Linked DNA regions of Schizosaccharomyces pombe. The protein of the gene in region 1 purifies or fractionates together with the protein of each later gene. This does not show direct contact. Each region holds a gene or a part of one and is shown on either strand. Other genes may lie near its edges.

Region 1 (16,192 bases):
CAGTATTCAAATTTTCCGTCACTCACCGTATCATTAAAACATTTACTGTTTTTGGCTGCTCAACGCGCAATGCTGCCTAACATCTGTGCTAGCAAACGATATGTGTTTATTGGGCACAACGTTTATACGCGGACGCGCTATTAACAAACTTCGCATCTCTTACAAGCATATATGTAAACAGCCAATCTGTACTCGTAAAAGGAAAGAATGCTTGAAAAGAACAAGTATCTCTATATATTTAGGCATATTCAAACGAATCAGGTACTTTTATCTCAAGGAAATGTTTTAAAAAAGACTGCGTTGTTTCAACTTCCCTACCCACTTCAAAAGCCAGTCGCTCCAAATGGTATGCGACCCGCTAAGCTCCGTAAAGACCATTGGGTTCCTTTACTAAAAGTCGAATTTCCTAATGAATCAATGTTTCAATCTGTTTTTATGCAACTGTTAAACTATCGAAAATATCGTTCTGTTCAACCACTGACTAGTGACCTTTTGAAATTGCCTATACCCGTTCGTAGAAGAAAAATAATGCGACAAGAGGTTCCTAACACGATTGCGGACTTGGCAGATATTTTAAATAAAGAAAAATTTCCCGAAAATTCCGTTCGTTTGCAACTGAGTGATAAATCCGATAGTGAATATGCAGATTGGCCCCCTAGTGTGCAGATTGATTCAGAGGAAATTAAACTCTCGCGAGGTTTCCGTGAAAAAACAACCGTAGACGAAGCTAGATGAAGCATAATATCATTACTTCTCTCACTTTCTTCCTTCAAAAACACCCCTCATCCATTTTTAGGCTTTCTTAAAGGGCATTATATGAAGTATAAGCTAACACATATTCATATTAGCTCAATCTTTTTTACTTAATGATAAAGTCCTTTTTACTAAAGACGGTTACGAATTCTTCCCAGTGTATCCAGTGTATTGCACTGGACAGCTTCCTTAGCTTATCATTGTACTTCAATGCGAGAGTATTGGCTAGATACTCAAGACAAGATAAATTTAATACAAATCGACACCAAATACTCGTATCTTTATTATTTTACCATTTTGAAGTTTTCGAGCTCCTATGAAATATATGCAAGATTAACTCATCACTTTATTGCCTCGTTTTTTTTTTGTTTAAAGTTTGGTCCAGAATAAAAAAAAAATATTAGCATCTAAAATAGAAATCATGGACCAAATATTTAAATAGTTATAACAATGCCAAAAGAAAAGACTTTATAAACCAAAGACATAAATACCATAAATCGTTAAAGAGCGGTAGTTATAGTTAAACTCTTAGAGTGGATTAATGCACAAGGAGGTAATCCTTCCATAAATATTAATAAGTCATCAACATATTCCTCGCTTTTTCGAAAGCTCTTATGAGTGTCGGCCAAAGGTGCTGGTAAAACAGTAAACAATACAGAAGTATTTTTAGTATGTTTCAGCACGATTTCATTCATAATTATGTATTGAGATCTCGAGGATAAATCGTTAAACGTCAACTTCTCTTTAGAATAGTCCCTTCCTATTTTTTTCTTTGGTGCTAGTCTATCAGATGAACTATCTTCTCGGACCACGTTGGGCATCAGAGATGACTCAATAGTACTGTCAGAATAAGTTCTTCTATTTTCTTGTTTTGGTGATAAAGAACGGTTTCCGAAAGAAGATTCAGTCTCAAACGACTTTACTGAATGCATATGTGGCCCAAGGCGGAAACTCAATGGCACACTTAAAGGTGGAGCACTCTTATCAAAGCTGGCAGATCTAAAGTTATAACCAGACATACGACGTGGAAAACGAATAGGTCCTAAGGAATCTACAGTATTTCCTCTTCTTTTCTTTTCTTCCTGCCACCACGAGTCATCTTTCAGTAAGTTTTCAAGCTCGGAAGACTTGCTAGGTCTCACATGCTCATTTTTGACAATGTACCTATATGCATCCAAATTCATTGCAGCAAGACAGAGCACTACAACGTCGGCTTTGATACGGAACGTTTCTAGCATTTGATGCATGCTTTCTCGTTCTGCCTCTATTTCATTCTCGAATTCAACAAGAGTGATAAGCCGTAGCCTACAACCTTGTTTCCAATCTGAAGCTGTATGAAGGATCCAACTAAGTTGAAAAACCATAGTATACGTCTCGAAATTCGTCGCAAACGTTGGTGTACTTTCATTGACTTCTGACCCCACACCTGATATTCTATGAATGGGAAACATATCTATATATTGCTTTTCTCCCTTTCTTTTTGGCCAATTAAGTCTATCGAACCCATTAGTTACCATAACGTCCACCGAACCAACAAGCATGTCTTCCAATATCTGTACCCACTTCACAGGTAGTATATCATGCTCCACAAATTCTTTTTTACTGTCAGATTCTGATTCTTCACTAGTATTCTCAAGAGAGAAAGAAGAACCCGAGTATATACGATGTCTACGATAATTCGTATTAATAAATGTTAGCACAGCTATGTTTGGACGAATTCCCCCCAAGCCTGCAGAAGATATAAGACCACGGATACCCCAAACTTCGTCTGGAGCAATAGTTAGTTCAACAAATGCTTTGATACCTCGATCAAGGACAAACTGATGCCAAAGACGTTGCTGCTTTCTTAAATCATCCATGCTAGCCTGAAAATCATCGGATACAATAACGTGCCCTAAGATATAGAGGGAACCTATAATTTATGGGTTAGTATTGTCAAAAAATGTCGGTATACATGCCTTTCTTTAATGAATTGCAGAAACGGATAACATTTTCTGACCGATTCGGGTTGTTAATCAAAAGTAAAATTTGAGGCCTCCAAAACTTTATATTTTCTCTTGCTTTATTAGTTTGCAGCAAGTATTTTCGAAGTTGATGATAAATGATGCCTTGAGACACATCACCCCAATTTTTAGGAGGACATGTGAAATATATGACTACCACCAAAATTCCTGCAATTAAAAATGAGATAAAGGCATTCAAGCGATCAACGTAAAACATTACGCCAAATGACAAGATGGTACCCACCAGTGTAGTGCGTCTATTGAAATACCGAAAGGTAGGTCGAAAATTTGGGGTACTACTAATTCGTAACAGAAAACACGATAAGTTGATAAAGCCAAAAGTCAGAAGAAAAGTCATTGTAATCATCGAAGAAAGCATATTGATGTCCCAAAATAAACTGATTTGCGTAATTAAGTAAGTCACTCCAATTGCAACATAAGGAATATCATCGTAGCTAGAACCCTTTGCAAAGAAAAACATTCCGGGTATTAAATCATCTCGCGCGATTGCCTGTAATAGCTTTGCAGCTCCAAATATACCCATAAACGAGCTAAAGGCGCCACTAGAAAGAATTCCAGAAATGATGAATAAAGGATGTAAACTAATATGTTCCATAACGTCCATATCAAGTAAAAGTCCCGTACGAGTTACAGAGGCACCAACACATAAAATTACTAGCAAATAAAGCAAAAAGGTCGTTGCTTGAGAAGATATAGTACCTTTAGGGATAGAACGAGAAGGTGCTTTAAGATCACCAGACATGCTTGCGCCAGCCAGTAGACCTGCCGTTGCAGGAAAAAATACGCCAAATGTAGATTTAAAAGATTCATAACCTGTTCCTTTCTCATTTTCTGTGTAAGCAGATGCTAAATTTTTCATCAGCGTAGACCATTTTAATCCCGTAAAATGAACGAGTAAGGAAGGATCTTTGAAAGGATGAACAAATATCGAAGAGATTGGTATCGATATTGTTGAGAGTATTATAACCACAAAAAGGGCGTTTGAGGCCTTAGCAAAAATGGCAGAACCTAAACAACATAAAATACAACACATTGCGAGGACACAAGTTGTATACAAAAAGACCCACCAATATCCTTCGGGTAAAAATTGTGAAATAGTGCCTGATTCTTTTCCAAAAATGCTTATAATGGGCTCAACAAAACCAGAAATATTCATACCAGTATTCAGTATCTGCCCAACATAGAATATCAAACCAATTGAGCCTCCTAATTCGGGGCCAATAGATCTAGAAACCGCATAATATGCACCTCCGCCACGTACCATACCGTTCGTGCAAATTGCAGAGATCGATAGACTTGTAAATATACCTACCGCATAACTAATAAATAACATCAGCAATGTTTTAAGAACACCAGCTTCTCCAATAATCCAAGGAAATCTCAAATAAAGAAGGATGGAGAGTACGTTTAAAGTAGTTGGAATGAAACAACCTTCAAACGTTCCCAATTTCACCGCTTCATTTGGTTGTTCATTCTCAGCAAACGTTACACTTCTAGACAACGGAGGTAATTCATTAAAACTATTACTACGATAACTTTGTTGTGGTTCTTGTAATAAAGGTGTGGAAGACTCTAAATTTTCCTGTGTTTCCCAAAATCGTCTGGATTTTCGTACTGATAATCTATCTGCCAAAAAATCAAATACTTGACTTGATTTAGTTAAAAGTCTTGCCATAATCACAAAAAATTATCCCCATTAAATATAAAATAAGGAAGGCAATAATTTTGTGGTAGGAACTGTCAAGGTTATTAAATACTAAAAAAATTGGAAATGGTAAGGAAGAGTGAGTGTAGTCATGTAATAGAAACAGGGGTCCCATAGATATAGTAAAACCATCAGCAGTGATATAAGAAAAATTTTTTGACAATACTTTGCAACAGATTACTATCAATTCATGAAAGTTCATTACCAGCTTGCTTGAAAACATCGATGCTCGAATACACTTACCTCAGTTAAAAATAGGACTACTGAACACTATGAGTGAAACGTTTTGTAGAAAGGGAGAAATTTTACTCAAATAAATGGCCATAAATCGAAAATCAATGATATCATAAAATGTTTACAATTACAATTGCAATTTGGGGACTAAACGGAAAAAATAAAGAAATATCTAAATATTAGTAATATAAGTAGTGTAAATTAAGGCCAATTACATTTCCACGTATTATAATGCCAATATTCACTTCATCAAAATCACTTCTTTGGAGATGCACTACGAAAACTTTGAAACACGTTTTTTTCTTTTGATTCACCTTTGGCCTTACTAGGAAAAGTAGGAAAAAATTTAGGATCCTTGGGTCTGGGAGATTCGTAAAAATAAGGATGTTCTAGTGCTTCTTTGGCAGATATTCTCTTCGCAGGATTTAGACTTAAAAGTCGATTTAATAAATCGTACGCGTTTCCCGTTAAATTAGGGATAGAAGTACGAATCTTAGAGTGGGTAGGGACCGTAGGGTGTTTAATTTTGTTTGCATAAGGAAGAAGAAAATATTGGGGCCACTCTTCCCTAGTCGGATAACCGAGCAAATTGAATATCTTAATATTATTGTTAGGAATTTTTTAAGGTAAGAATAAAAAATCAAAAATCGCATACCTTGTATAATTGATCTAACTCACTTTTCCCAGAAAACAAAGGAGTCCTAGTAATCATTTCAGCGAAGATACATCCAATGCTCCACATGTCAATTTCTTTACCATAGCTTGGTGCACCAAGCAAAAGTTCAGGAGCACGATACCAAAGAGTCACAACTAAGCGTGTCAAAGAGGATTTGGGTTCTGATACTGGCCTTGCCAATCCAAAGTCGGCGAGTTTGATTTCGCCGGTGTTATTCATTAGCAAGTTAGAAGGCTTTAAATCTCTATGTAGATACCAATGGTGATGCATAAATGCCGTGGCAGCCAAAAGTTGAAGCATCAGTGTTTTGACTTCAGATTGTAAGAAATCTTCGGGCATGTTATCAAGTAATGTTTTGAGATCATGTTCCATGAACTCCATAACTAGGTAAACATCCTTCAAATCTTTACCAACAACCACTTTTTCCAATTCTACAATATTATCATGTCGAATGCTGGATAGTGATTCAATTTCTCGCAGACTAGTAATAGGGAATCCAATTCCATTAGGGTCAAACTTAATCTTTTTGAGTGCAACCAGGGTATTCGTACTTTTGTCAAGACCTCGATAAACGATTCCGTAAGATCCCTCCTCAATTTTTTCCAATATTTCATAATCATCAATAGAATTGCAAGACTTAAGTTCAGGTGTATTCCCCATCAAGTAGAGCCTGCAAGCATCAATGTTTCTTTCTTCAGCTTTCTCTTCTTCCTCTAATATTTTTCTTTTTCTTTTTTTTTCTAACCGTCGCTTTTTACGCCATTCCTCTTCTAATTTTTGATTTTCAATTGCGAATTGATTCGTTTCTTCTGTCTCCCACTTGGAGCCTGCCATAATGGTGTCTAATCACTCAAATTTTATCAAGTAAATTTATCGTTAGATTTGCAAAACTATCTACTTCAAATAAGGATTTATTTTTCGGTGCTTGTTTGTTCTCAATTAAAATGACATTGCTCGATAACCACTGTGGGATTTCTAACTGAATATTAGCAGAAAAGTAAAATGATCAAAACTCCTATTTTTTTTTCAGCAAGCCGTTTCGACATGTGATATTTAAAAAAGTAAGAAGTGACCTGCGTAAGTGCAGTCGCACAGTGCATAGTGAGAGATTTTCAAAACACTAAAAAAGAAGAAGCAACCTTGAATTAAATAATCTTTAATTGTTTAATTTTGAACACTCAAAAAACACAATCCATCATATGGCGGCGGCCCTACTCACCTAACTCGTTCGTTCAATCTACCATTTTGATATTCCTACAATACCGAACAAGGAATTTCCACTACACCTAATCGACTAAGCAATTACACGACAGCACTATAGAAACTATAAGTACTATTAAAATCTCTAAATACATTTCTACAGTCGCTTTCTCGTACACTGAACTTTTGTTTCATATATGTCAATACCGAAGAATTATGAATAAGGGTTTACGAAAACACCAACGGTTGGCTCGTACACAGTATCAAACAATATTTATGATAAATCAATTGTATAGATACATAATGGAAAAAAGCCAAACAGCCAAACACATTTTAACGGTAAGACTTTTGTTGACGAGCACGGGCACCATGACCACCGAACTAAAAAAAATCATTAGTAACACATTCTAAAAAAAAGAAACAAATGTTATGTCGTATCGAGAGATACAGTATCATTAACATTCTGTACACGGAACAAGTTCGACAACACAATAAATCGTGCAAGAAATCGATTCCGAAGATGTCATGAACTTCTCTTCGTTTAGCACATACCTTCTTGGGCTCCATACGACGAGGATCAGCAACCAACAAAGTACGGTCATAAGTAATGAGAGCCTTCTTAAGCTCAGCCTTGGAGTGTTCATCAACGAACTTTTGGTAGTAAGCAACGATGGCCTTGGAGATGGCTTGACGAATGGCATAGATTTGAGAAACATGACCACCACCAGAGACACGGACACGAATGTCAACACCGGCAAACTTATCGGCACCAGCGACCAAGATAGGCTCGTAGACCTTCATGCGCAAAATTTCGGGTTGAACAAGAGAGAGAGGGGCACCGTTGACCTTGATCAAGCCCTTGCCGACCTTACAGTGGGCGACTGCTGTGGCATTGCCTTTCTTTCCAAAGCACTGAACAGACTGCATGTTGGCTCGTGGATAGTTTTACTGGGTTGTAGTCCTGAAAGCCAAAAAAGTTTCGGCATGGTTCCTGTTTGCAAAAACAGTCACACTGAATTAGCAAAAGTTATTTTGTTACGATAAAATATATTATACGAAGCACTAAACTAATAACGTAATGTAACGCACGATCTGCATAACGATCTGTGATAAAGTTCGAGGTGAAAAGTAGAATTCTACAGAATGCAGAACGCGTGAGGTATTCTTTAGCATTAAGTGTTAATGTAGAGACAGAAAGTATTGAAATTTTCGTAAGTCTATGAGAATTTACTGCTGGGTTGCTTTGTTACAAATTGAACTGTGAGGGAACGGGGAAATATTCTGTATGAAAACCGAAATGACACGAAATTGAGCATAACAGATTGCTTTCTTCATACTATATTTCCTTCCTAATGTCCGAACAAACAAGGCAAAATGATTAAAGTGCTGTGATTTGTGATACACCAAATTTTTGGTTTAGCTCACTGGACATTATTCAATAAGAATTATTAATCACAATTTATTTAATTAAGAACATGCAGTGAAATATAAGATTACGAATGGTTTTCAACGGTGTTTATAAATTTGTTTACATGTGAAAAGATTTAGAAAAAATGCAAATTAAACAAGCATCGAATTATGTCTGTGCATTTAAAAGGGCTATTCAATACACTTTTATATGAAAAATCTACCGTTGCAACAAATTATAATCTTGAGAACAAAGCTCTCCTTATACACCGATGACACTCCGTGATCGGACGAAAGAGTGAATTGATGAAGGACATATATCCCTTTCTAATTGGCAAAAATGATAGCTTTAAAATAGTCCAATTAAAACTCTGTAATATTATTGTAGACTTAAAGAGCATATGTCAATTCTTTAAAGGAACACAACTTGCAATTTCATTACACCAACACAGTGGCTCACAGGATACAAGACATGAAGTTCTAAATATTCAAACAATACAAATATACACAAATATAGTACTACGGAATACTTTTAGAAGAAAATTACAAATCCATTTTTGACTGTAGATATCCTAAACGAATAACAATTCCAGTGAAATTCCTCCCATGTGACAGAAAAGTACCGAAATAAAATTCGAGACACTGGCAGATACGACAGCACACTTAAAGTCTGCGACCACGACGACCACCCTTTCTACGAGTAGAATCAGTGGGGATGGGAGTAACATCCTCAATACGGCCAATACGCATACCAGCACGGGCCAAGGCACGAAGGGCAGCTTGAGCACCAGGACCAGGGGTCTTGGTAGCAGTACCACCAGTAGCACGGATCTTGATGTGAAGAGCAGTGATACCAACTTCCTTGCACTTAGCAGCAGCGTCTTGGGCGGCTAACATAGCAGCGTAAGGAGAAGACTCATCACGATCAGTCTTGACCTTCATACCACCGGTGACACGAACAATGGTTTCCTTGCCGGTCAAATCAGTGATGTGAACGAATGTATCATTAAAGGAGGCGAAGATGTGAGCAACGCCGAAAACAAGCTCACCGGAACGGATTTGAGGGCCAACGTTAGTAGCCATTTTTCGTGGTTAGTTTTTGGTAACTGCGATATCTCTTTTGTTTTGGGCTTCTTCCTGTGTAAACTAAAGGAACAGTCACAAATTTGTGTCGAAACTTTTGTGACTGCTCATGGGAAAAGTTGACCACTAGTCTTTTCTTACCAACTTTACCACCAGACATCCACCATCATGGCTGTAGCATCGTCAACGGTCCCCTCAAAGGAGCAAATCTTTGCTCCTGAGTCTCTTTTGAAGAAGAAGAAGACCCAAGAGCAGTCTCGTGAACAGCGTGTTGCTGCCGCTGCCGAGAAGAAAGCTGTAAGTGTTTTGTCTATGGATATTTGTCTTTGGATGGATTGAATAAAGTACAGAAATCTTTTGAATGATGAAGAGTTTATCTATAAAGTACACTACAGATTGTGTTTTTTCATCTAGATAGAACCCTCCCACATTCATTTTGATCGGTTTGCAAGGGTTTTCACCTCCCAAAAATTAGTCAAACGCTTTAGCCTGTCATGGAATTTTTTATGATTGCTTTATTTTTATAAGCAATAATAAAGCAGATAATTGAGAAATATGAAAAACAAGATGATGACAACAAATTTCGGATAGCTAGCTTAGGCTGTGCGCGTTCCACAATTTACCATCTTTCGGGACTGATTACTGTTTTTCTACTTTTCTCTTTATTTATTTCTTTCCATCTAAATTACATCCATTCTAATTTCACAAAATTTCTACTGTATTAACTGTTATGTTTAGGCTCAACAAAAGAAGCGTGAGCTCATTGCAAAGCGCGCCGAATCTTACGATGCTGAGTACCGCAAGGCCGAACGTGAGCAAATCGAACTCGGTCGCAAGGCTCGTGCTGAGGGCAACTACTACGTCCCTGACGAAACCAAGTTGGTCTTTGTCATCCGTATTCGTGGTATCAACAACATTCCTCCCAAGGCCCGTAAGATCATGCAATTACTCCGTCTTATTCAAATCAACAACGGTGTCTTTGTTAAATTTAACAAGGCTACCAAAGAAATGCTTCAAGTCGTTGAACCTTATGTTACTTATGGTATTCCTAACCTCAAGACTGTTCGTGAGCTCCTTTACAAGCGTGGTTTTGGTAAGGTCAACAAACAACGCATTGCTCTTTCTGACAATGCTATCATCGAAGCTGCTTTGGGCAAGTACTCTATCTTGTCTATCGAGGATTTGATTCACGAAATTTACACCGTCGGTCCCAACTTCAAGCAAGCTGCCAACTTCATCTGGCCCTTCCAACTTTCTTCTCCCTTGGGTGGCTGGAGAGATCGCAAGTTCAAGCATTTCATCGAAGGTGGTGATGCTGGCAAGCGTGATGAGCATATTAACTCTCTCGTTAGAAAGATGCTTTAATTTGGTGTAGATGTTAAAAATAACCATATCTTTCCTAGCTTTGACAAAATAATTTACAACAAGTAGATTTAGTTGTTTTGGTCATTAGGTGTTATTAGTAAATTCATCGCTAGTAGTTACTTTCATTGTAATTAGCTTTGTTAACTCATTTTTGCAATCTTTTGTGTGCATATAGTAATTTTACCTCGTCAAACAGCACTTTTACTCAACGTTGTACATAAGACGATGGTTGAACTAATGATGTAGTGTCTTCATTCGTAACAACTCATATTTTATAACTTACTTCCTACTAACGCGGTTTTAATCCTAAACTTGAATAAACTAGTGGTTTGTTTAATGCAATTCATTAAAAGGACATTTCCGCGAAGGGCCTTTGTCGATTTGCTCCTAAACCGCTTCTGCTTGCGGGAATTTGCAACCACGTATAGTGTTTCAGTAAGTAATGCGCGGAAATTAGTACGAAAGCGCCTTTTAATCGCTGATGCTTTGAAATTCAAGGAGCAAGTCAACAATCTAAATGAGTTTCGAAATAAAAAAACTAAGTCATCCTTAATAAGAAACGATGGTTTCAAACTGGCTAAAAATGTATCTTCGTTACTTCAAAAAGAGTCTTTAGAGAAAGCATTGCATTTACTGTACGAGAGATCAAATGCCAAGAAGACGGTTGCCTATAACCTTGTACTACAATATCATTTAGCTAAAGGGCATTACAACGCTGCTTGGTCTTTGTACAATGATATGAAAAAGCGCCAACAAAAACCTAGCGATCATACATACTCCATTCTTCTAAAGGGATTTTGCGATGCTATTGAAAAGAATAAGCAAGGAAATTTTTCTAAACTACGTGAATATAGTGAAAAGGTAACAGCTAGTGCTCTCAAGGAGTCTAATAATGTCACATCCAATTTGCATCACATACGAATTATATCCAAGTGTAGTCTAAAGCTTAAAAGTATGGTATTGGTGTCAATGATTATTCCATCCATCAAACAAACATTGGATTTCTATAGTGGATCTCAAATTCTTCGACTTTTGAACGACTTTTCTATGTTCAATCCGGAACAACGTGAAGAAGTGTTAAAGATGGGGACGAATCTTTGGAATTATTTTGTCCTTGAATGCCAAAAGAAAGGAATAGCAGTTGATGAAAGTCTTATTTGTTCCTTTGTGAAACTTCTGGCTACTAGCAACTCGCCTCAAGTGAGAAACGTGGGGTTAAATATTCTTACAAAAGTGATGGGATTGGAATATCAGATTTTCGAAGATTCCAACTTGCGTTATCCTTTACCCCCATATTGCGATTGTACTTCAAGAAGTTTGGTTACAGCATTACAGGTCATTCGTCAAATACAAAACGGTGATTTGTTAGCAAGGTATTGGAAGTATTTTGAGGAAAGTCACAAATTTGATTTAAATCTTCAAGTATATCATGAGAAGCTACGTAACCTTGTTCAGCAGGGCCAAGCAGCTGAATGCTTAAATACCATTAAAAGGATGTCGCATAACGGTCCTTTCCCTACTCAGCAGACATTTTTGATTGTCTTATCATTATGCAAAAGGCCGAAATTTTATAGCTACACGAAAAGCTTCTTAGACTTGGCCAAGAAATTGAACGTCCCCGTTGAAGCAACCTAAAAATATCATCAAGTGTTTAATAATTCATCGATACCTTTTTATGTCATTTATAATTTTCTATTAATTTATAAGAAATGAATTCAAATAATCGTCATGTAATTTATTTATTTGTACATGTTTACCTTGTCCGTTTGAAACTGTAGAATGGAACCCTTATTATTTTAACGTCAATTTAGCAAACGTAATTTAAAATTGTTTGTTGAAAAGCCATGAATTAACTAAGAGTTATAATTATGTTTCTGTTGCATGCCACTGATTTAGCCTGAACTTCACCTAGACGTAGTATTAACTTAGGAACTACTGATTTTGGGCATAAAGAGCTATATACTCACTAAAAATGCAAGGATTTAATATGGGGAAATATATTCCCCCGGAAGGGCCGAATGCTAAAAGAAAATTTGATAAATTACGAAATGTAATTCGGTTTGAAATGCCATTTCCAGTGTGGTGCAACAATTGTGAAAATATCATTCAACAAGGCACTAGATTCAATGCTGTTAAAAAAGAGATTGGCTCATACTATACTACGAAAATATGGTCATTCAGCTTAAAATGTCATTTATGCTCAAACCCTATCGATGTACATACGGATCCTAAGGTACTGGTTTGATTAATTTAACAAATTTGTTACTGACATAAATAGAATACAGAATACATCGTTGCTTCTGGAGGCAGAAGGAAAATTGAACCTCAAGACATCAATGAACGTCCTGCAAAAGCTGAAAACGACGAAAAGGTGCCGTCTGATGCAATTGAAGCGCTGGAAACCCAATTAACTCAGCAAAAGTCAGAAAAGCATAATAGTTCTGTAATAAACTTTATATATGAGAAAAATGAAAGGCTTTGGTCGGATCCTTTCGTTTCTTCTCAGAGGCTGCGAAAACAGTTTCGGGTAAGAAGAATTTGTTTTGCGTTAAAATTTTCATATTAACTAACCCATAACTTAGGAAAGGAAAAAAATTGAAAAAAAGCAAGAAGCTAAAGATCTATCTCTCAAAAACCGTGCAGCGTTGGACATTGATATATTACCACCCTCTTCTTCTGACAAGGATAAGGCATTATTGTTGCTAGATAACGAATTAGGAAAGAATAAATTTATAAGGAAATTAGATTATAGAAGAACATTAATGCCCTCTTCTAGAACATTTTCGACTTTTGCAAAGTTTGCTGAGACTTCATTCGCAAAAAAAGATCCTTTTGCTCGAAAATTTGTCCCTTCCGAGAAGCTAAGGAGCGAGCAAAGGAAATTTCCTACAGAAAATTTAAAGGGAGAGAAAATCCTTGAAGATAATTCGGTTTCTCTCGTCAATTATGAAGTGAGTGATGATGAAGGATAATTATTTTGGTTAAATACGAAGACTTTAAAAGTATCTTCTATCAAAAGATTAACTACTTGTTATTCATTAAATTTTTATACAATATGGGTATCTAATGAAGCAAAAAAATATGGATGTCATGCAACCCAATTAATTACCGTGATGCTTCCTTTTGTACTTCCTTGGATCCTTCCTACTCATGCGAACGCGATCGCGCATTCCTTTTCCTCCCTCCCAGTAGGCACTGGTTTGTTTTTTCACAGTCATATTTCCACAATGGGGGCAAGTTGCATCCTTTTTGTAGAAAGATTCCATGGCACAGTACCCACATATTATTCGATTAGCATGCTCAAATGTATGATTTTGATCAGCGTCATGACATTCATCACATGGATAAACACGATCACAACATGAAAAACGAAACCCTGATTGTTAATTATGAATTTTATAAACGACTTACATCTGAATGATTTTTTGTAATGTTCGCAAGCACCATTATTGGGAAGTGGCAATCCTTTCGTAATGTTTAAGTTTTGTTTTTGCTTCTTTTTTGCGCTCACCTTCCCGCCCATTGAACTTTGTCGTTGTTTTAACAAATGAAATTCGGTATCTTGATGTTCAACCAAGATTCTGTTTTTGCATACTTTACAAAACTGTAGCATGGGCTGCATGGAAGAAATACCTTTAAAGGATGTTATCTGCTCATCAACACATTCCATACAAGAGACCTGACAGTCAATGGGCATCACGTCAACCGGTACACATCCTAAAGTATGGAGGATACCTAAACGGGCATTATTTGGGTGAATCACACCAGGCACCCAAACTAATCTTAGAGTATTACTACACTTATTGCAAACAAGAGAAAATTTTGTAGCAATAGAAATTTCACTTCCATAATGGCACCGAACACACTTTATGACCAAACGTAAAATTGGTGCTTTGAGAGTACCGACATTAGTTAAATGCGGATTCTTCCATTCTAAGCAGTATTCGTTACCCAGAAGCTCTGTGTCTTTGCTCTGAATGTCATGATCGTTACTGTAAGCATCCTGTGGTTCATTAACATTTTGTAGATCATCTTCTTTCCCATCGTTTCCTCCTTTTGAATAAATAATTTTTTTTGGCTTTTCATCATTGAATAACTGTTCAGAGCCAGAGATGGTAGTTTTTGTTTGGGTAGTATTCTGCTTTTGACAGTGATTTTGACCACGCAGTACTTCATAGTCAAGTGTAGTGTTCAAATGAACCCTCTCTGATAGAGGTCCTTCAAGCTTATTTGCCAACGGCTCTAAGTCAGTTGGGGTTTCTGGTTTCTTAGAATCGACTTGTTGAACCATCAACTCACGCTCTTTTGTATTGCATGTCTCAAATGATTTCCAATTTTGTAACAAATAATTAAATAAACTTGTCAAAGTTGTTTTCTGATTTTGAAATGCCGTTTCAACGTACTTATTCATTGCCGTTTGCATGAACTCTTGATTTTTTTCAAGTAATACCGATATTTGAAACGGTTTATCTTTATTTATAACTAAAGTAATCAATCCATGATCACTGGGCAAGGATAAGAAAATCTCATTTCTTGCCTCTCTGGTACTAGTTAATAAAGATGTTTACATTAACTAACCCACAGCTAACCTGCTTAGTACTTACATAACTTCCGGATTAAGCCTTCGCCGGAATACTTGTATCTGCAAGTCCCAATTTGAATCCTTCATAGCTTCAATTGAAACCATAATAACCAAAAAAGGCTATAGTCTTGTAGTATTTGGTTCAATTCAGGTTAAGTCGCCAACACAAATACTCGGTTCTTCCTCGGATGTCCGATGATTATTTCGACAGACTATTTGAATTAGCATTCGTTTATATTAATGAAGATGAAACGATTCAAAGCTGTTCCTTCAGAGGACAACGCTGGCTTGAAGAGGTATGTCTAATTTTTCCGTGCCGTTTATAGTAATGTGCTTCAATTACTAACAGTTTTGAGGCCCAAACTCTTGAACAAAAAAATTCATTACTCAAAGCATACTATTACTATTTAAAAGCACTAAAACTTGCTTACGAAATTCCATGCCGATTCGAGATTTCTGTTAAGTCTACTCATTATGGAGAATTCAAACAGTTCCAAAAGGTATCGACATTGTACATAGTATTTTTTTTAATGCTCAAAACACGAAAATTTTGTATTCAAAGCTCCCTAGCCTTCTCGTCAGATAAATTTGATATAGTTGACGAGACTGTACTAATTATGATCTTTGAAGCAAACTTAATTTATTTTTTGTTCAAGTTACAATCTTGAATACTAACATGTCCTTTTAGTTAGCAATTCAAGCCGTTTCCAAAGCCTTTACTATAAAAAGCAAATTAGCGGTGAAGCATTATTTGCCTGTAATTCAAATCTCTGACGCTCTTTCCCTATCAAAAAAATCATCACTTAAAGTTCTTTTTCTTAATTTCTATTCCCAAGAGTCTTCAAAGGGTTATGTTTTTTCGAAGCACACGATTGCCATCCCAATATCCTGTTTGCAATCGATGGATTCTTCAAAAATATATGACTTTTTAAAATCCGCACCTTTTCATCCAAGCATGGTTATTTGTTACAGTTTGGAAAGATACTTCGAAGACGTTTCTTTGGCTTACAAGCTTTACTCGATGTTACGTTCGTTGAAGTTGGATCCTCATTTCATGGAATTGGCGAACCCTAAGAAAGTTGATAGTTCTTTATCGTATGAAAATTATCAGCCTATAGGTTTAACGAATTTGGGTAATACTTGTTACATGAATTGTGTCCTGC
Region 2 (15,846 bases), on another chromosome or scaffold:
CATTAGTATCTAAAGACAAAAGAAAATTTTTATTCACGAACCCTCATATTAAGGGGCATCTCCCCTTGACCAGTTGTACTGCAAATAAATACACATTGAAGTGGACGCAACAAATTTTCCTATAATAATTAGTTAGATCAAACTTTCATTATTATAGATACATATATATATATATATATATATACAGCTACTATGCTTACTAAGTTGAAATCATCCATCGAATTTACCAACACATCGTAACCCATTCGTGTAAGACTACGAAATAGTGATTCCGCTAAACCCTCAGCGGTTCCAGTTTCGGAACCATATAATATGTATATGTGTGAATTTTTCATTTTTCTTAAGTTTGGATTGAAATTTTGGCGCAGAAGGGAATGCGGCACCTTGCGCTCAGTTTGATAAAGGTACGTGCAAGACGAGTAGTGCGATAGTGTAAAGCATTATGCCAACTTAAAGCCAACATAGGAATTCCTTAACGCTACCAATTAATTTTCTTAAATTTAAGAAACGTTTACTTTATTAATTTTGATGGTAAAACAATTTGTTGATTTTGACTATTGCCAAAGTGGGTAATAATTTAATGAAAAACTAACAAACTTAAGAGGTCTTTGCTTTACAAGATTTCTTTTTGGCGGTAGACGTTAAATATAAATATGCGTAGTTTATCTTTTTAAGAGCGATGGTAATAAGTAAAATACTGCTTATCAAATACTTTTGTTTATTGAACTTTTAGTAATTCCTTCGAGACAATTTAGATCCAACAGCCGAATCCTAAGTTAAAGCAACAACGCTGAGTTCCATTAGATTGCCGAGTGCTTTGATCAAACACGCTTATGGTGAGAGTATTAAATGGCGCATTGTTTATGACTTTCCAGGTAGTAAGCTCTTTCAGTAACGACAGCTTAATTTATCAGATCACATAAGATAGTAAACTCAATGTCGATCCCATGCAACTGAACATATTGAATATTTGTACAACAAGTTTAAAAATTCAGATGCTAACGATTGTACGAGAGAATACAATAGAGATTTGTATAGCAAAAATGTACTCGCACCATTGAAGTTTACATATTGCAAAAGGCCCTATCTGAATTGCTATATGGTATTGAGTTACTTCTTTAACATTTAGTTACCACTAACATATAATAGGTTTTTTTTGTCTATAAAAAACATGTAAAAGATTAGAAAATTAGATTTAAAGGCTTGTCAGTGAGTTCTTGATATGAATTTACTCAGTTAAACGAGATTTAGATTTAAAATATATCCAAAAATAGGAAATTTATTTACAATGTTCTAAAATTCAAACTTAAGGTCCAATCTCAACAATCACGAATAATAATAACAATAAATAACCAGAATTGTTTCCAGACAATCACAACAAGGTCATTCATTGTCGCATACACTAAAGTAAATTTTAAGTTTTTATTTAATGTAGCAATCGACACTTCTATTTATACTCTCGACCGATATTTAAGATTGCCAGTAGCTTACCAGAAAAAGTACTATTTTCTACTAAATTTTAACAATTTAATTTTTAATTAACAAAATTTTACTGTACATATATTACATTGTGCAACAAGCAATCAACGGTTCCGTTGTGGTCCAACGGCTAGGATTCGTCGCTTTCACCGACGCGGTCGGGGTTCGACTCCCCGCAACGGAGTAAATTTTTACTACTACTAGAGTAAATCACTTTTTGAATTAAAAGCAAAATTAATGTTTTGAAGAAGTTACGTTCATTGTATTGTGAGAATTTAGAAGATTTTATTTGATCCTGAACTACGAAATTCAATTCAAAGCGAACCTTTTATTTAATGGTGCAATTTGCTACAAGTAGCAATAATTTGCTCTAAGTGACAACAATCGCTCAGCGAAACTCCCACCGTATTCTTATGCAAAAACGCAGGTCATGAACGGGGTATGGGAATATCGTGTTTTCGGTTAAGTAAATAATTCTGATTCTTGAGGAATATTCTGATGGCAGATTCTTTGGTACATTCCCTTGCCTCTTCTTCCCAGTTAGAAGCCTTTGATTCTTTTGAATATGCAGAGGAACTATGTACATTAGGTTCTGAATGGATTCAGGAAGCAGGCGTTCTTTTGAATCTGTAAGTCTTCTTACATTTATTTTCCAAAGCTTTTAGTAGCCGGATTGTGGCGATAAAATGCATTTGAACTTTTTATTAACATTGTTAGAACTCAAAATTGTGTAATTGTTTGTTTGATTTTGTTTCGAAGATACTGCACACTTTATCCGCCGAGAGTTCCCGATCTTGATGCTATCGTTATGGCTTGTGTGTCCATTGGAAGTAAAACTACCGAAACTCCAGCTTCTGTACAAGACATATGTAATGTTGTAGTCTATCTTAAAGAGCGTTTCAAGGACACGAATTTTGAAGCACGAGGATTCATTGCTCACGATTTGTACAGTGAGGAGATGTATAGTTCCAGGAATAGATTATCAAACATGGAATTGGAGGTCTTACGAGCATTGAATTTTGATACCCATATTGTCATTCCTCACAAGCTGGCAATTCATTATCTACAAACATTACAGCTAATTGATAACAAAAAGCTTTTACAAATAACATGGAATTTTTTAAACGATGCTAGCCGAACTCGACTTTGCGTTTTGTATCCTCCGTTTAGTTTGGCATGCGGCTGCATCGCAATGGCAGCTAGAGTTATCGGTATGAAATTACCCAAAGACTGGTATCGAGTCTTTGATACTACAAAAGAAGAAATCGATTCTTTAACAAGCATTTTGGAAAATTTTTATAAAACAAGCGCTATTGCTCATAAAACATTGTATCTCATTTTTACTGAGCAAGTTTCTGCTTAAAGTGTACATCTTCCTGTTTAACATTGCAGAATGGAACACAAATATATCCTTATTTAAAAAACGAGAGTATTCATTAATTGTATATACCTTTCTGTAGTAGTAGTGAGCGAATTGTTAAGATACAAGTTAGCGACATCAATTTTGCAAACTTGGCTATAAATAAAGCATAAACAACCATTAAAAAAACACGTGTGTATCTTTAAGAACGTATCACATCTTTCAGATCCTTTTCGTTTATAGAGGAAAGCATTCGAGGAAAGACGATAATAAACTAATTGAAATGGATACAGTCAGAAATTAGTGGGCTGATTATCTTGTTCAATCCTGGGGAGTTGGAGATTCTCGTAAAGCCACTTGGGAGGTAGATGCTTCTGCCGCAGTCAGCGACGCATTTAGGAGTTCATTAGCTTTACGGCAACTATGTTCAAAAACAAAGTTTTTGAGAAGGTCCTTTTTGCAGTTTTTTACATAAACCTTTTCATCTATACTGGCGGAAGCCAAAAAGGTTGCTAGGGCTTCCAATTTTTCACGGTCAATTCGACTATCCTGAAGAGCGCGTAAAAGGGCGGGAATGGTGGTAACCTCTGAAAGATCAAAGTCCGATGAATCATCTTCAAAGCTGCTTCGTGTTTGAGTACTTGACCTTTGTATGGGATATGAAGAGGAGATTGTGAAGGACTCTGGAACAAGAGGAAGTTCATCTCGTCGCAATTCTTTCTATAGAAAACGTTAAAATATGAACGGAACGAATTTTCAAACTAGCACAATTAAAGTAGCCTGTGATGTATTATACCTTTTTTCGCTTCCGGATCCATCGTCTGCGACGAACAAACGAATGAAGAGAAACCGGTTTACCATGCCAATTGTTCATGGTAAATGAAAACCCATACTGCCAACCTGATTCATCGACATCGCCGGACATGTCAATATACCAACGCTGCCATGCCTATACATTTAAACTGCTTTTTTGGTAACACATCCATTCACAAATTTAGCTAACCAAAAGCAAAGAACCAAATGAAACTTAAATAATTGAGCCAAAGGATGGTTCAACTACAGCTAATTTCATTGGTGTAAAACAAATAGCTTTCTTAAATTCAGAGAGGAAAATGTTACAACAAAAGCAGTATATTGTTAGCAAACAGTTTTCAAGCAAACTATATGCTGGTCTTATCGCTATCGTCCTAGAGGAAGACAGAGAAGAAGTTATTGACATACCCATTCCCAACTAGGATCAGGACAAGTTGCTGTTTTCGTTGAGACAGGAGACGCAACAAAATGCTGATCAACCCAAGGAGCAGGGTCAAAATTCAACAATGATTTTTCAGAGAAATAGGGTACCCCACATAGCATAATACTAAGTATAAATGTTTAGTTTCAAACTGCAAAATTGCTTTGTCATACCCACGTTGATTTTCGTAGAGAATATCAAGATGTGAAGTCCTTTCAGATTCCGTCATCTATGCAGGATCTTATTTAGTTCCATCTAGAAATTAAGAGAGAAATTATAGGAAATAAAATCTATATTAAAAAAGAAATTAATTAAAAGCTGTTTATTATAAAGATTATGGGGTAGTGGGTTCTTTATTGTATGTGCAAAACGGCGGCCGTTTTGACAACAGCCGATTTTTGGTGTTTACTAGCTAAATGACGCAACAAGCTACTAAACAATTTAGAGAATAATATTTGGTTAAAGTATATTGTTAAGTAAACAACAAAATGTTTTATATAAAAAACTTCCCCATAAAAGCAAGTTGCAGACAGAATACAGCTGTGTTTGTTTGCAATGTTTTTTTTGGTGCACCAAGTTACTATTCATTCTAGGACGGATATAAATATTAATAGAAACTGTCTTTCGAACATGAAAACAACAAACTGAAGCTCTTTTTACCAAAAAAGTTTCATGATAAGTTTTTTCATGCAATTGCAATAATTTCTATACTATAATTCAAGAACGGATCAACAGAAAAATTGAGCTACATGGCTAGAAATCCGCCATTGTGTGTTTTAACCATGCTTTAAGAAACATTTATTTTTTTCATTTAATTAATCACTATGTTTATTAGTATATTGTATATATAATTTTTAATTTTTTTCTTTTTCTTTATATTTTTATATTTATTTATTTTTATTAGTTTTTAAGTTTCTCACATAATATTTCAAGGTCTTTAAAAAGAAATAGTGTTACTAATATATAAATGTATTTATATTTTTTTAATTTAGTTATTTCTTATTTTTCATTAATACAACTAAATTATTTGACATTGATTTTTTCTTGTTATCTATCTATTTTTTATTTTATTTCTTTATTTCTAAGGGCTAAAGCCTTCATAGCAAAAGTCAAATTATTCGATTCCACCGGTCATAAAACAATCAATTTTCTCCATTCTTTGAGTCGCCTCGCATTGTTAAGCATTAAGAATGCATAAATGATCGCTGCTGAAATAAGCTGGTTTTCGATTTAAACAGACCATAGGTTATTCTAGTCCTACCCTATTCACTTGCCGCGTAAACGAAACAATTGGTTTTTTCATTAAGGACTATTGTGTTGAAAAACTTAAATGAATTAGCCTATTACTAGTAAATGGTACTTCGCTGGGTGTCTTTGTTGCCCATCTCTATTGTTGTTGATTGTAAACAATGGACAATGCTAATCTATTCAAGTGAATCCCCATTATTATGTATTATCATATATAGCATGCAACTCTTATGAAAATGAATCAGATAAACAATCCGGTTTCTTTATTCGAGTAAGTCATAGCATTTTCACATTTTTCGAAATACTGAAGCGTATAAAATTATAGTCACTTTTCAAGAATTGTTTCGAAACTGAATACATCAATATATTCCAAATATGATAAATATTATATTTAATTTAGCGCTAACGCTTTTCTCATAGGCTCAAAATCATTGTCTCTCTTTTCAATGCTGTCTTTATTTTTGAAATCTCTTTTTGCTATTATAATAATTGAATTGACTATCATTCACGCTTTACCAACTTACACTGTACATTGGAAATGCAGTATACAACAAGCCAACACGAGTTCTGCTTCCTCGAATCAGACTGTTCAACCTAGACAACACGCTGCTCCTTCTTCGGATCGAATTAAATCACTTCCTGAATTTAAGGGATCATTACCGGAATTATATTCTGGATACTTGGAAGCGAATTCCGATAAATCACTTTTTTATACATATGCCCCTGCTGTTGTTGATTCGGAAACTTTCATAGTATGGCTTCAAGGAGGACCTGGATGCGCTGGAACATTAGGCTTTTTCAGTGAAAATGGACCCATTGAAATATCCCAAAGTAGCCCCTCACCATCCCTTAATCCTGAATCTTGGACAAACTTCGCCAACATGTTATGGTTAGATCAGCCATTTGGTACGGGGTACTCCCAAGGACAGGCGGCATATACAACTACGATTGAAGAAGCTTCTTCAGATTTTGTAAATGCCCTGAAATCATTTTACCAAAAGTTTCCCCACTTAATGAAGAAAAAGCTCTACCTTGTCGGCGAAAGCTACGGTAGCATATGGAGCGCCAATTTTGCAGAGGCATTACTTTCTGAACCATCTTTGAATATAAATTTTATGGGCGTGGGAATCGTCAGTGGACTTACGGCGGACTACGAAACTCAAGAACAAATTACTGCTTCTATTTGGGTGGAACATATCAGCAAACTTGGATACTATTTTAATAATACTTCTTCCACAATATCTGAAGAGTTTAAAAAGCGCAATAAAGAATGTCAATATGATTCAGTTTTGAACAGATTGACGTTTCCTACTGAACAATACCCAATATGGAGACCAGAGTACAACTTTAGCACATCTACTTCTCTAAGGAAGCGGGAAGCTCTCGATGGTGAAGACATTGGGAATGTATTTAATTCAATTTCTGGATGTGACTTGTATTCCCTTTCTAACTTTTTACTTTATCTAGAGAACAGCTGTGTCATAACTTATGATGTTAGCCTTGATTGTAGTTTCAATGAGTATAATGATCCCTTAATCACATACCTGAACAGAGAAGATGTTCGCTCTTCTTTACATGCTACGAAAGCTTCAACTGCGTTGACAAGCGGCGAGGGTGTCTTCGCAGACGGATGCAATTTTGACTTATACAAAAAGATTGTGAGTAACAACGTAGAATCAGTTCTCGTTGAAATAATTCCACGCTTAACAGAAAAATACAAAGTGTCTTTCTTAGCTGGGGCATTGGATCTTCAAATTCTTTGGACCGGAACTCTTTTGGCATTGCAAAATACAACATGGAATGGATGGCAGGGATTCACTCAATCTCCTGGAAGTTTAGAGACAACTAATGGATTTACTTTGGATGAACGTAACTTAGCCTTTACATTGTCCAACTCGGTTGGGCACATGGCTCCATCTAAAGACCCTCAAATGGTTAGAGAATGGCTTGAAAATACGTTGCTTTATTAAAAGTTTAATATCGGAAAATTTAAAATACAAGTTTATTGACTTACCACTGATGTGGTATATCAATAAATAACTATCGTTTATGAAACTCGGAACGATAATTAGATCATATTTCCGCATGACTACAAGAAAAAAAGAATGGTGCTTGAATTAACAACTAAGATATGGTTGAATAGATAGAATTATTTATAAGATATACGTTTACGAATAATCGAATCGTTCCCAAAATAAGAAATAGATCAGCATACAGTTTTCATTGATTTTTCAAAGTTCAAATAAAAGAGCTAAATTGTTATAAAAGAGTATGAAAATAGCAAGGGGATATGGAAGATTGGTAAGCATACTAATGACTGTGTTCAGCGTTGGGATCTCCCATGAATTTTAATTTGTATACAGATCCGCATTCAGGACAACGGCGGAGTTTGTCTTTGTAGACAGTCATCCAAATTAAATTATGTGAACCAGAAGGACTACCAGTACAGCCAATATGACGGTAAGGATCAAGAGAAGTGACCATTATAGGATCCGTCAATGTGCCTTTACGAGAAGCATCCAACGGTTTCATATCAAATGCATCTCTCCCTGAAAGCTCTGATAAAAGTTCATATCGTTCCAAACCAGTGGCTTGCTCCAAATCAGTTGGAACCTCGCCGTCACGACCACCAGGTCCGATCAAATCAGAAGGTTCCTTAGCGTTGGCTAATTCTTGAGCGGCGGCTTTTACAACTAAAAGAATGTTAGTGAAGGAGATAAAAATTAAGCTAAAAAGCCCTAAAATGTATCGGCAGCACAAATTAACAAGTCATATCTACTAAGCGACTTAATAGATGAAATAGAAAGCGTTTTAAGAGAGTGGGCTATAGGCAACGTCGATTTTCATTCTTTTGATTACTTTTTAGGTCTGTAAAATATAGAAAAGAATGAATGGGCACACAAGCCTAACTTCCGATATATAATTAATAGCAAAACTGTACATCGGAGATCAAGAGTCAACGGAAGCTTTACTCCTATAGCCAGTACTAAACAAGCTTTAACCATTAAGCTGCTATGACAAACTTTACTAAGCTTTCAAAGGACTTACCGTTTTGCTCATTACGGCGGATTGAAGCAGAAACAAAGCCACGGTACAGAGAAACAGTACTCCTGACCGCTGCTCTTTGTCTGGAGACACGAAGCATAGAATTCATAAACATCTTAAAAGACAATTATTGATGATTTATAACCTGATAATGGGTGAGATGGGGTGTTGTGTAGTTTCCAACGTTGGTCCGGTATTGTGTAACGAAATTTGGTAGGACAGCAAGCTACAACAGAAAAAAAGATGAGAAGGTTAACAAAAAACGGAATTATTTCTTAAACAGTTACGAATAAGATGATAATGGGGAAGTTCCAATATTACTATTGCCTTAATTATATTGTATAAAAAACGAGTAGTATGAGATGTCCTTTTCTTGATTGACTATCGGTGCTCATAACTTGCTAAACATATCTGAGTGTTATAATTAAAGGGATCATTGCTATATTTCTACTGATTGTTTGTGTTTTTTAAGGTTCATGAGCTATACCCTGGAAGAAATTGACTTAAATTGTTTTGTTTACTCATTTCTTATACAACTCTTTATGAACTAGAGGTTTAATGTATCATGTTTGCCTCGGGAATATTAATTATTTTAAAAGCAATATGACCGAAAGAAATAAATTCCCTAGTGATGAACGATTTTCAGGTCGTTCATTTTCGATCTTGTCCTCTCAATTATTACAATCCGTTTGTTCTATTGTTTAAAGCAAACATGCATACATTCTCTGTATATTACTGACCACATTGTGTTAATCAATTAAATCTAATACGAAATACTATTTTTTAATACCTTTTCGTTGGTTCATTTAGTCGTTTCTTTTCATCTAGTTTATTCACATTAAATTTCATAGCTTTTCATAATAATTGTAAAAAACGTTGAGGTGTCTTTCTGCTATTTTGTAGCTAATTTACAGAGTTAACTATTGAGTCAACCAACTAAGTTGTTTATTTAGCAACTTCGAACATAACCCAAGCGATGAAAACCAAATTGATAAATATTTATGTAATAAAGAAAGAGGAAATATGTGAAGCTTTTATTAACTTCGTAGACGTTAAACTATTCCCAAATTTCCTTCTAATAACGAATATGTATTACGCAGTTCATTATTCCGCGATATTTAAATTGCCATAGTTTGGTGATAGTTGACGCGTTTGGCATCAACTTAGTAGCAATCCAGTGCTTATTCGGGACTCGAATATATCTTGAGAACACAAAGTCATATCTCTTAACTTCTTAAGTGTACTTTTTTATTAAGAGAGCTTTGAGGTCAACCTGTTTTCTCGAAGCTTAGGCTTAAGTGACTTCGTTCTTCTTCCATTCATAGTTTCGATACTTTAACAAGTTTTTTTTACAAAGGATCGTCAGACTTCTGTATCGATATTTTCCCCACTATGTCTGATGCTGAAGACAGCGATTCGATTGTAAATGAATTTGTAACGGCAATTGTTCGAGAATCCGATAAGTTTGCCAAAGTGCATTCTTATCCCATGCAGTATGGTACTGGAGGATATCGCGCTGAGTACGTTGATAAAAAAAGAAACTTACTTTTAGTTTAAATGGAAATTATTAACATTTTATTTATAGCGCTGAGCTGCTTTCGAGTGTTGCTTTTCGCACAGGCGTAATCGCCAGCTTTTTGTCAGCCAAATTGCATGGACAACCTGTTGGACGTAAGACACATACTTTTATTATTGCGAGATGATTCATTTACATATTGATATCCATCTTGTTCCTTTGTATTTCTTTGAGTTTACTTACTAACAATCTTAGTTATGGTGACTGCCTCGCACAACGCCTCTTCCGAAAACGGGTTAAAGATCGTAAACATTTTGAGTAGCCTGGATTCTAGCAAATGGGAAGCATACCTGGATCAAGTAGTAAATGCGGATTCCGCTGACGAATTAACGGTTTGTTTAACTTCAATTTTGAAAAAGGCAAAGATTATTCCCGGTTCTGAAGCTCGGGTGTTTGTTGGCTATGACTCAAGGTTTGTTTTACTTTTATTGTCGATATTAGATCACTTAATTTCTCCGCTTTTTTAAATCTTATGTCCAAGACTAACATCTAATACTTAGGTCTACTTCAGAAATCCTTGCGCAAGCTGTAATTGACGGTATTGTGGTCTGCAAAGCAAAGTACGAAAATTTTGGCCTTTTAACTACACCTCAGCTACACTACATGGTCAAGGCTTCTCAAACTTATGGTACCCCAGATGCAATAGGTGAACCTACTGAAAGAGGGTATTTTGAAAAGCTGTCGAAGGCATATCAATCCTTAATGACAGGAAAGAAGATTAAAGGGACTGTATTGATAGATGCTGCTAACGGCGTCGGAGCGGCTAAGATAAAAGAACTGGCCAAGTATATTGATCCAAAGCTGTTTCCTATCGAAATCGTAAACGACAATATTGATAATCCTGAACTGTTGAATAACTCGGTAAGTTTTTTTGATACATTGTTTACAATTGCATGCTAATTTACTAGTGTGGAGCGGATTTTGTAAGGACTCAGCAAAAGCCTCCAAACGGTATTAGTGCCCCAAAACATGCCCGTTGTGCCTCTTTTGACGGGGATGCTGATCGAATTGTGTATTTTGCGTTTGGCTCTCACAGCTTTCATCTGTTAGATGGTGACAAAATATGCGCTTTATTTGCCCAATTTCTAATCGACCTAATCCGTTCTACTGGTTTGGACCTTCAAGTTGGTATTGTTCAGACTGCTTATGCAAATGGAGCCAGCACGGCATTTTTCCAAAAAACTTTAAAGGTACCGGTTTTATGTGTGTCTCCCGGTCTTAAGCATCTTTACCATGCTGCTCAAGCTTACGATGTTGGAGTATTTTTTGAAGCAAATGGTCATGGTACAATTTTAGTCTCTCATGCTGCATTATCAAAGATAATTTCTCATGAAGTATTGTCTCCAGCCCAATTTAATGCCTTAAAAACTCTAAAAACAGTCTTTGAATTGATTAATCAAACTGATGGAGATGCTATTACTAATTTACTTTTGGTGGAAGTCATTTTGGCTCACAAAAATTGCACTTTGAAAGAGTGGAATCAGCTATATAGCGAAATTCCTAGTCGTCTAATTCGCTGTGAAGTAGAAGACCGGTCAATTTATACTACTACTGATGCCGAACAAAAACTAGTAACACCGGAAGGACTTCAAGAAAAAATTGACGCTTTGGTAGCAAAATACACGGGCGGTCGGGCATTTGTTCGATCATCTGGAACCGAGGATGCTGTTCGGTAAGTTCAATGTTAATTATCATTCTAACTCTAATTGTAGTGTGTATGCGGAAGCTAGTTCAAGGGGTGAATCTGAGGATTTAGCCCTCCGCATTGTTGAACTATTACATTAAACAATTTTTAAATTTAAATGTTAATGACTAAATTGGTTATGATGGAACTGTCTTGTTTAATGTTGTTTTTAGGGATATCTAGTAATAATTTTGGTTACCCAAATTCTTATATAATATCTAACAAAAATATGTGCATACATATGCGAATATACTTGTATACAGTTTGTTGATAGTAATTTTTTAAAATAACCAGGCATTATAATTTTGTTGTTGTGTTCACAAGAAAAAGTGTTTGTTTACATGGACTTCCTCACAATGCTTGAATTTAATATTCCCTCATAAAGGACTTATATAAACCTCGCGTGAGCAAACAAACGCTCATATTTGTATCAAGCTGTTATAAAGGATATTGACGGAAAGTTCAATAATTCACCTATTTACCAGTTAATCGGCATTATCCAGCTGTACAAATTTTATCGTTTATAGTGATCACTTTGAAATCGATTATTAAAAGAAGTTGGTGCCAAAAACTCATAAAAAAAATCAAATATATAATTCTACTCGTTTGCGAAAAAGAAGTCTTTCATAAGACGCTATAAATTTTTCTTAAAAAAATTATTGATCAATAAATCATTTTCAGCATGACCTACGAAACAAATACACCAACCGAGGAATCCATTATTCCGAAGCATGAAGATGGAGAAGAATACAACTCAATTTATCTTTCTCGTTTCGAAAAAGACATCTCAATTTCCCAAACCCTCGATTTTTCACAATTTATGCAAACTCAGATTTTATTGACAGCCAAACGTAAAGCTTTAGAGCTCGGCGACGATCGATCCCCTATTAACAATGATCCATATAATATCAGGAGAAGCGATTTTGATGAATTATCAGAATACACTGCCTCTAAAAGCCCCAGTATAATTTCCGAGGCTTCACACAACTCACCATCACGAGAGCTGGATGACTCAGGTGATGAAAACACTTCCAAATTAACTGGAACTAAGCAGTCAATGTTGAAAGCCAGAAACAGACAAGCTGCCCAAAAGTGTAGGATAAAAAAGAAAAAGTACTTACAAACATTACAAGACCAAGTCAACTACTACACTTCTGAAAACAAGGAGCTTTTGCAAAGTGCTAATGATTTAAGAGAAGAAATAATTAAACTGAGAACCTTGGTGTTTGCTCATAGAGATTGCCCAGTATCGAAGGCTTGCTCAAAAGCGTTGTTTCTAATGGGCAAGGAAAAACCGCTTACGCCTCCTTAAAAGTCCGAAATAGATCTATTCGAACTTTTTATGCATTAGACAGTTGATAGGTAAAGGCTCAAGAGGGATATAATCTTCTACGCCATTCATAATACTTAGGTCATTCGGAAATTGCCAAGTCCATCCTTGAAATGCGTTCTCTGGACACTTTTTCCCCTGGCCATTAATATTAGGATGAAAATACAACTTACCAAATTAGTATCCATATATTCAGAAGCCTTTTTCCAAGAACTGATTTCTTTATCTTTTTCCTTCGTATTTGGGGAATCAATCGTATGGTCAATTTTAGTTAACGGATCTTTTTTCTTTGTTAATGAATCAATTTCATCAGAATCAAATGCTAATTCATATGTCAAGCAAGTTTCAGTTTTTGAATATGAAAAAAGTGTCTTGATGTCTTCACCCGTAAAAAAATTCTTCTTTTGGCTTGCATCGGAATCCTACAATCAAGTCAGTATAAAATTTTATAATAAATCACATACTATGAACGAACTTGAAAGCCCTTGCTTAGTATTTTGGCGAATAAAAATGCGCTCATCTAGCATTCCACTGCTGCATAACTTAATATGTTATTCGTAAAAGCGGTCGTACCTTAAAAATGTGTATATACAGACTGGCCGCTTTTGCCCGCTTCTATATATCCTTGACAATGCTTGCAAATCTTGGGCAGGGTTCCAACTTGGTTCGTAAATTATTAACCTAGTGGATCCGGTAAGATTTAAACCGCAGCCACCAGCTTTGCTTGAAAGTAAAAGCACACTAAATTCTTTGAAGCTGGAAGTATTGAAATTGTGTACTATTAAATCACGCTCAGAGAAAGGAGTACTTCCAAGCAATTTACAGAAACGGACATGCAAAATTGATAAAAACAATTCAATCAACTCGAGAGTTTCTTTATATTGGGACACAATAACAGCTTTTTGGCAACCCCTTTGGAAACTTTTAAGTAGCGCAGCCAATATTTGCAGTTTGCTAGAGGAGAGCAACATATTCTCTTGCTCGAATACATGCTTATCTTGCAACTCCGTTGACAAAAAATTTTCCTTTTCATTTCTCAATAAAATGGTGCTATTGCATATCTTGCTCAAGCGAGTCAAAATTTTAAGATAATAGCCCTTCTGATCAACGCTTGACTTGAAACCATCGAGAACATGTCCATAAACATTCTCTTGTTGATGTGTTGGTTTTATGAATAAAACAATGTCGGCTATTATGTTAATACTGATTTTAATATTTGCATACTTCTTGGCGGTAAATGTTTAGCCAGTATATTGGCTTTCCTCCTTAACGTGAAATTGCTTGTAAATTCAAAAAGCTAAAAATCAGTATAAAATTTATCTTTAGTAAACAAACCCTTTGAAGTCTTGCAGCTCCCAATGATATGTCCCTAGAGGAAGCATTCATTGATCTACTCCTTAATATAGGCCGCTCATACTGAGCTTTAAAAGAATTTGGGGTCCCCAGAGATCCAGGAATTATAAAGTTAACCATAGAGAAATATTCTGACAAATCTGAGCGGTTAAAATTAAATAGCATTCACTGATTCATACCGTTTTGTAAAGGCGTACCAGTGAGAAGAAGCCTCTTTCTAGTTTTTAGCTTATTCAGCGTAATCCAAGTCTGACTACTCATGGACTTCAAGCGGTGAGCTAAGATTAATAAACTATTTATGAACAAATCAATACCTTCGTCGCAAATTAGAAGATCAATATCAATCCCGCATCCATAGTTTCTCAAGTACGTACAAACCTTTAGCAATTAGAAAAAAGAATAAATAAAGGAATTACCGTTTCATATCCTGTAATGATAATCGAATAAGTTTTGTTCGACGTAAATTCTTGGAAATCTTCAGCGCATCTAGCTATATAAACATGAATACGCTCGTGACCGAGCCAATTATAAAACTCATTTTCCCAATTCTAGCCATTAGTAATGAAGTTTTGAAACTTCTTACCTTCAAAAGAGTGACAGGTGCTACGACCATTGCATTGTTTATAGTCGAAGAACGATTGGCGTAATAAGACTGCTCTAAATAATAAGATTAGAGAATGAAAGTTAAAAAAAACCCTAAGTCTCATACTCAATAAAGTCCAGACAACTGTTATAGTTTGCAACGTTTTTCCTAAGCCCATTTCATCAGCCAAAATTGCACTATATCCACATTTTCCTTCCATTCCTAATAAACAGTCGTAAAGAAAGGAAACTCCTTCCCGCTGATGAGAATAAAGATGCTTTGAAAGGAAAGGATCAATAACAACATCTACATGCGTCCTGTAATGTTAGATCAAGCATTCACTTTTACCATACCTTGGATCCCAAGTCTTGGGCCTGCTCATCACCAAAGCTCCAAGCACAGTAGGATCATGCCTCGGTTTGGGTAGTGCTGATATTGTCTGGTACATTGTGTTAGGTCTCAAAGGTGGCTTGAATTTACGCTTCATTTCAGGCATATGAACGTCTCGGAGAGAATCATCTATATGTGTGCCTGCTTCATAACTTTCTGCAGAGATTTCCTTCTCAATCTAAAGATGATGAGAAACATTCGCTTACATGTATATCTTACAGATATTTCTTTCCCGGAAATGCGAAGCAATTCTCCTTCTTTGATTTGTGGCACCCTCGAATGACAGGATCCGAGTCTTTAACATATATTAATAAAAAATATCTCTCAATAAAAGATGCTATATTGTTTGCGACTTCATTTTTAGTAAGTTCGACATGTAGGAATACCTTGTAAAATCTGAATTATAAAGAGTCAAATTTGAGTCTTCTCTAACGAGAAAGCCATCCCCTTCCCATGTTTTATGTTTCTTCATAGTAATTTTTCTCCTGACGCGTTTAGTCATGAAGTCAAAAAAGAGATTGTGCTACCATACCATACAACATTGTAATAAGCAATTTTGTTTAT

Evidence for each region.
Region 2: the proteins of cdk11 (region 1) and lcp1 purify together in Schizosaccharomyces pombe (affinity purification with mass spectrometry, with the first as the bait; one study listed by BioGRID). This does not show direct contact.

What each region holds. Positions count from the first base shown.
Region 1 is NC_003423.3:1,785,274-1,801,465, reverse strand, and holds cdk11 (Cdk11-cyclinL compex kinase subunit Cdk11), read right to left. Parts: upstream 6,486-16,192; 5' UTR 6,227-6,485; coding exon 5,372-6,226; intron 5,327-5,371; exon of another isoform or gene 5,314-5,326; coding exon 4,972-5,313; 3' UTR 4,787-4,971; downstream 1-4,786. Other genes in the region: mhr1 (mitochondrial 54S ribosomal protein mL67 ), read left to right, coding at 208-735; vacuolar membrane cation-chloride cotransporter Vhc1, read right to left, coding at 1,254-2,665, 2,712-4,452; rps1601 (40S ribosomal protein uS9), read right to left, coding at 6,926-6,973, 7,145-7,519; rps1402 (40S ribosomal protein uS11), read right to left, coding at 8,663-9,082; RNase MRP subunit, ribosomal protein L7-like Rpl701, read left to right, coding at 9,251-9,379, 9,821-10,447; PPR repeat-containing protein Ppr2, read left to right, coding at 10,784-12,082; splicing-associated factor Saf4, read left to right, coding at 12,420-12,680, 12,726-12,974, 13,030-13,419; SPOM_SPBC18H10.09 (zf-CHY type zinc finger protein), read right to left, coding at 13,549-13,823, 13,859-14,988, 15,052-15,134; ubiquitin hydrolase Ubp4, read left to right, coding at 15,218-15,325, 15,386-15,529, 15,718-16,192.
Region 2 is NC_003424.3:703,936-719,781, reverse strand, and holds lcp1 (cyclin L family cyclin), read left to right. Parts: upstream 1-1,902; 5' UTR 1,903-1,977; coding exon 1,978-2,108; exon of another isoform or gene 2,109-2,196; coding exon 2,197-2,842; 3' UTR 2,843-2,908; downstream 2,909-15,846. Other genes in the region: NADPH-dependent diflavin oxidoreductase Tah18, read right to left, coding at 42-119, 201-335; mug65 (spore wall assembly protein), read right to left, coding at 3,161-3,559, 3,636-3,788, 4,061-4,199, 4,247-4,302; serine carboxypeptidase Sxa2, read left to right, coding at 5,768-7,291; cox4 (cytochrome c oxidase subunit IV), read right to left, coding at 7,632-8,014, 8,370-8,481; SPOM_SPAC1296.01C (phosphoacetylglucosamine mutase), read left to right, coding at 9,759-9,886, 9,952-10,037, 10,138-10,354, 10,443-10,803, 10,851-11,614, 11,655-11,727; DNA-binding transcription factor Atf31, read left to right, coding at 12,309-12,938; ATP-dependent DNA translocase Rdh54, read right to left, coding at 12,954-13,094, 13,130-13,378, 13,421-13,490, 13,530-14,145, 14,181-14,253, 14,292-14,449, 14,489-14,587, 14,624-14,687 and 7 more.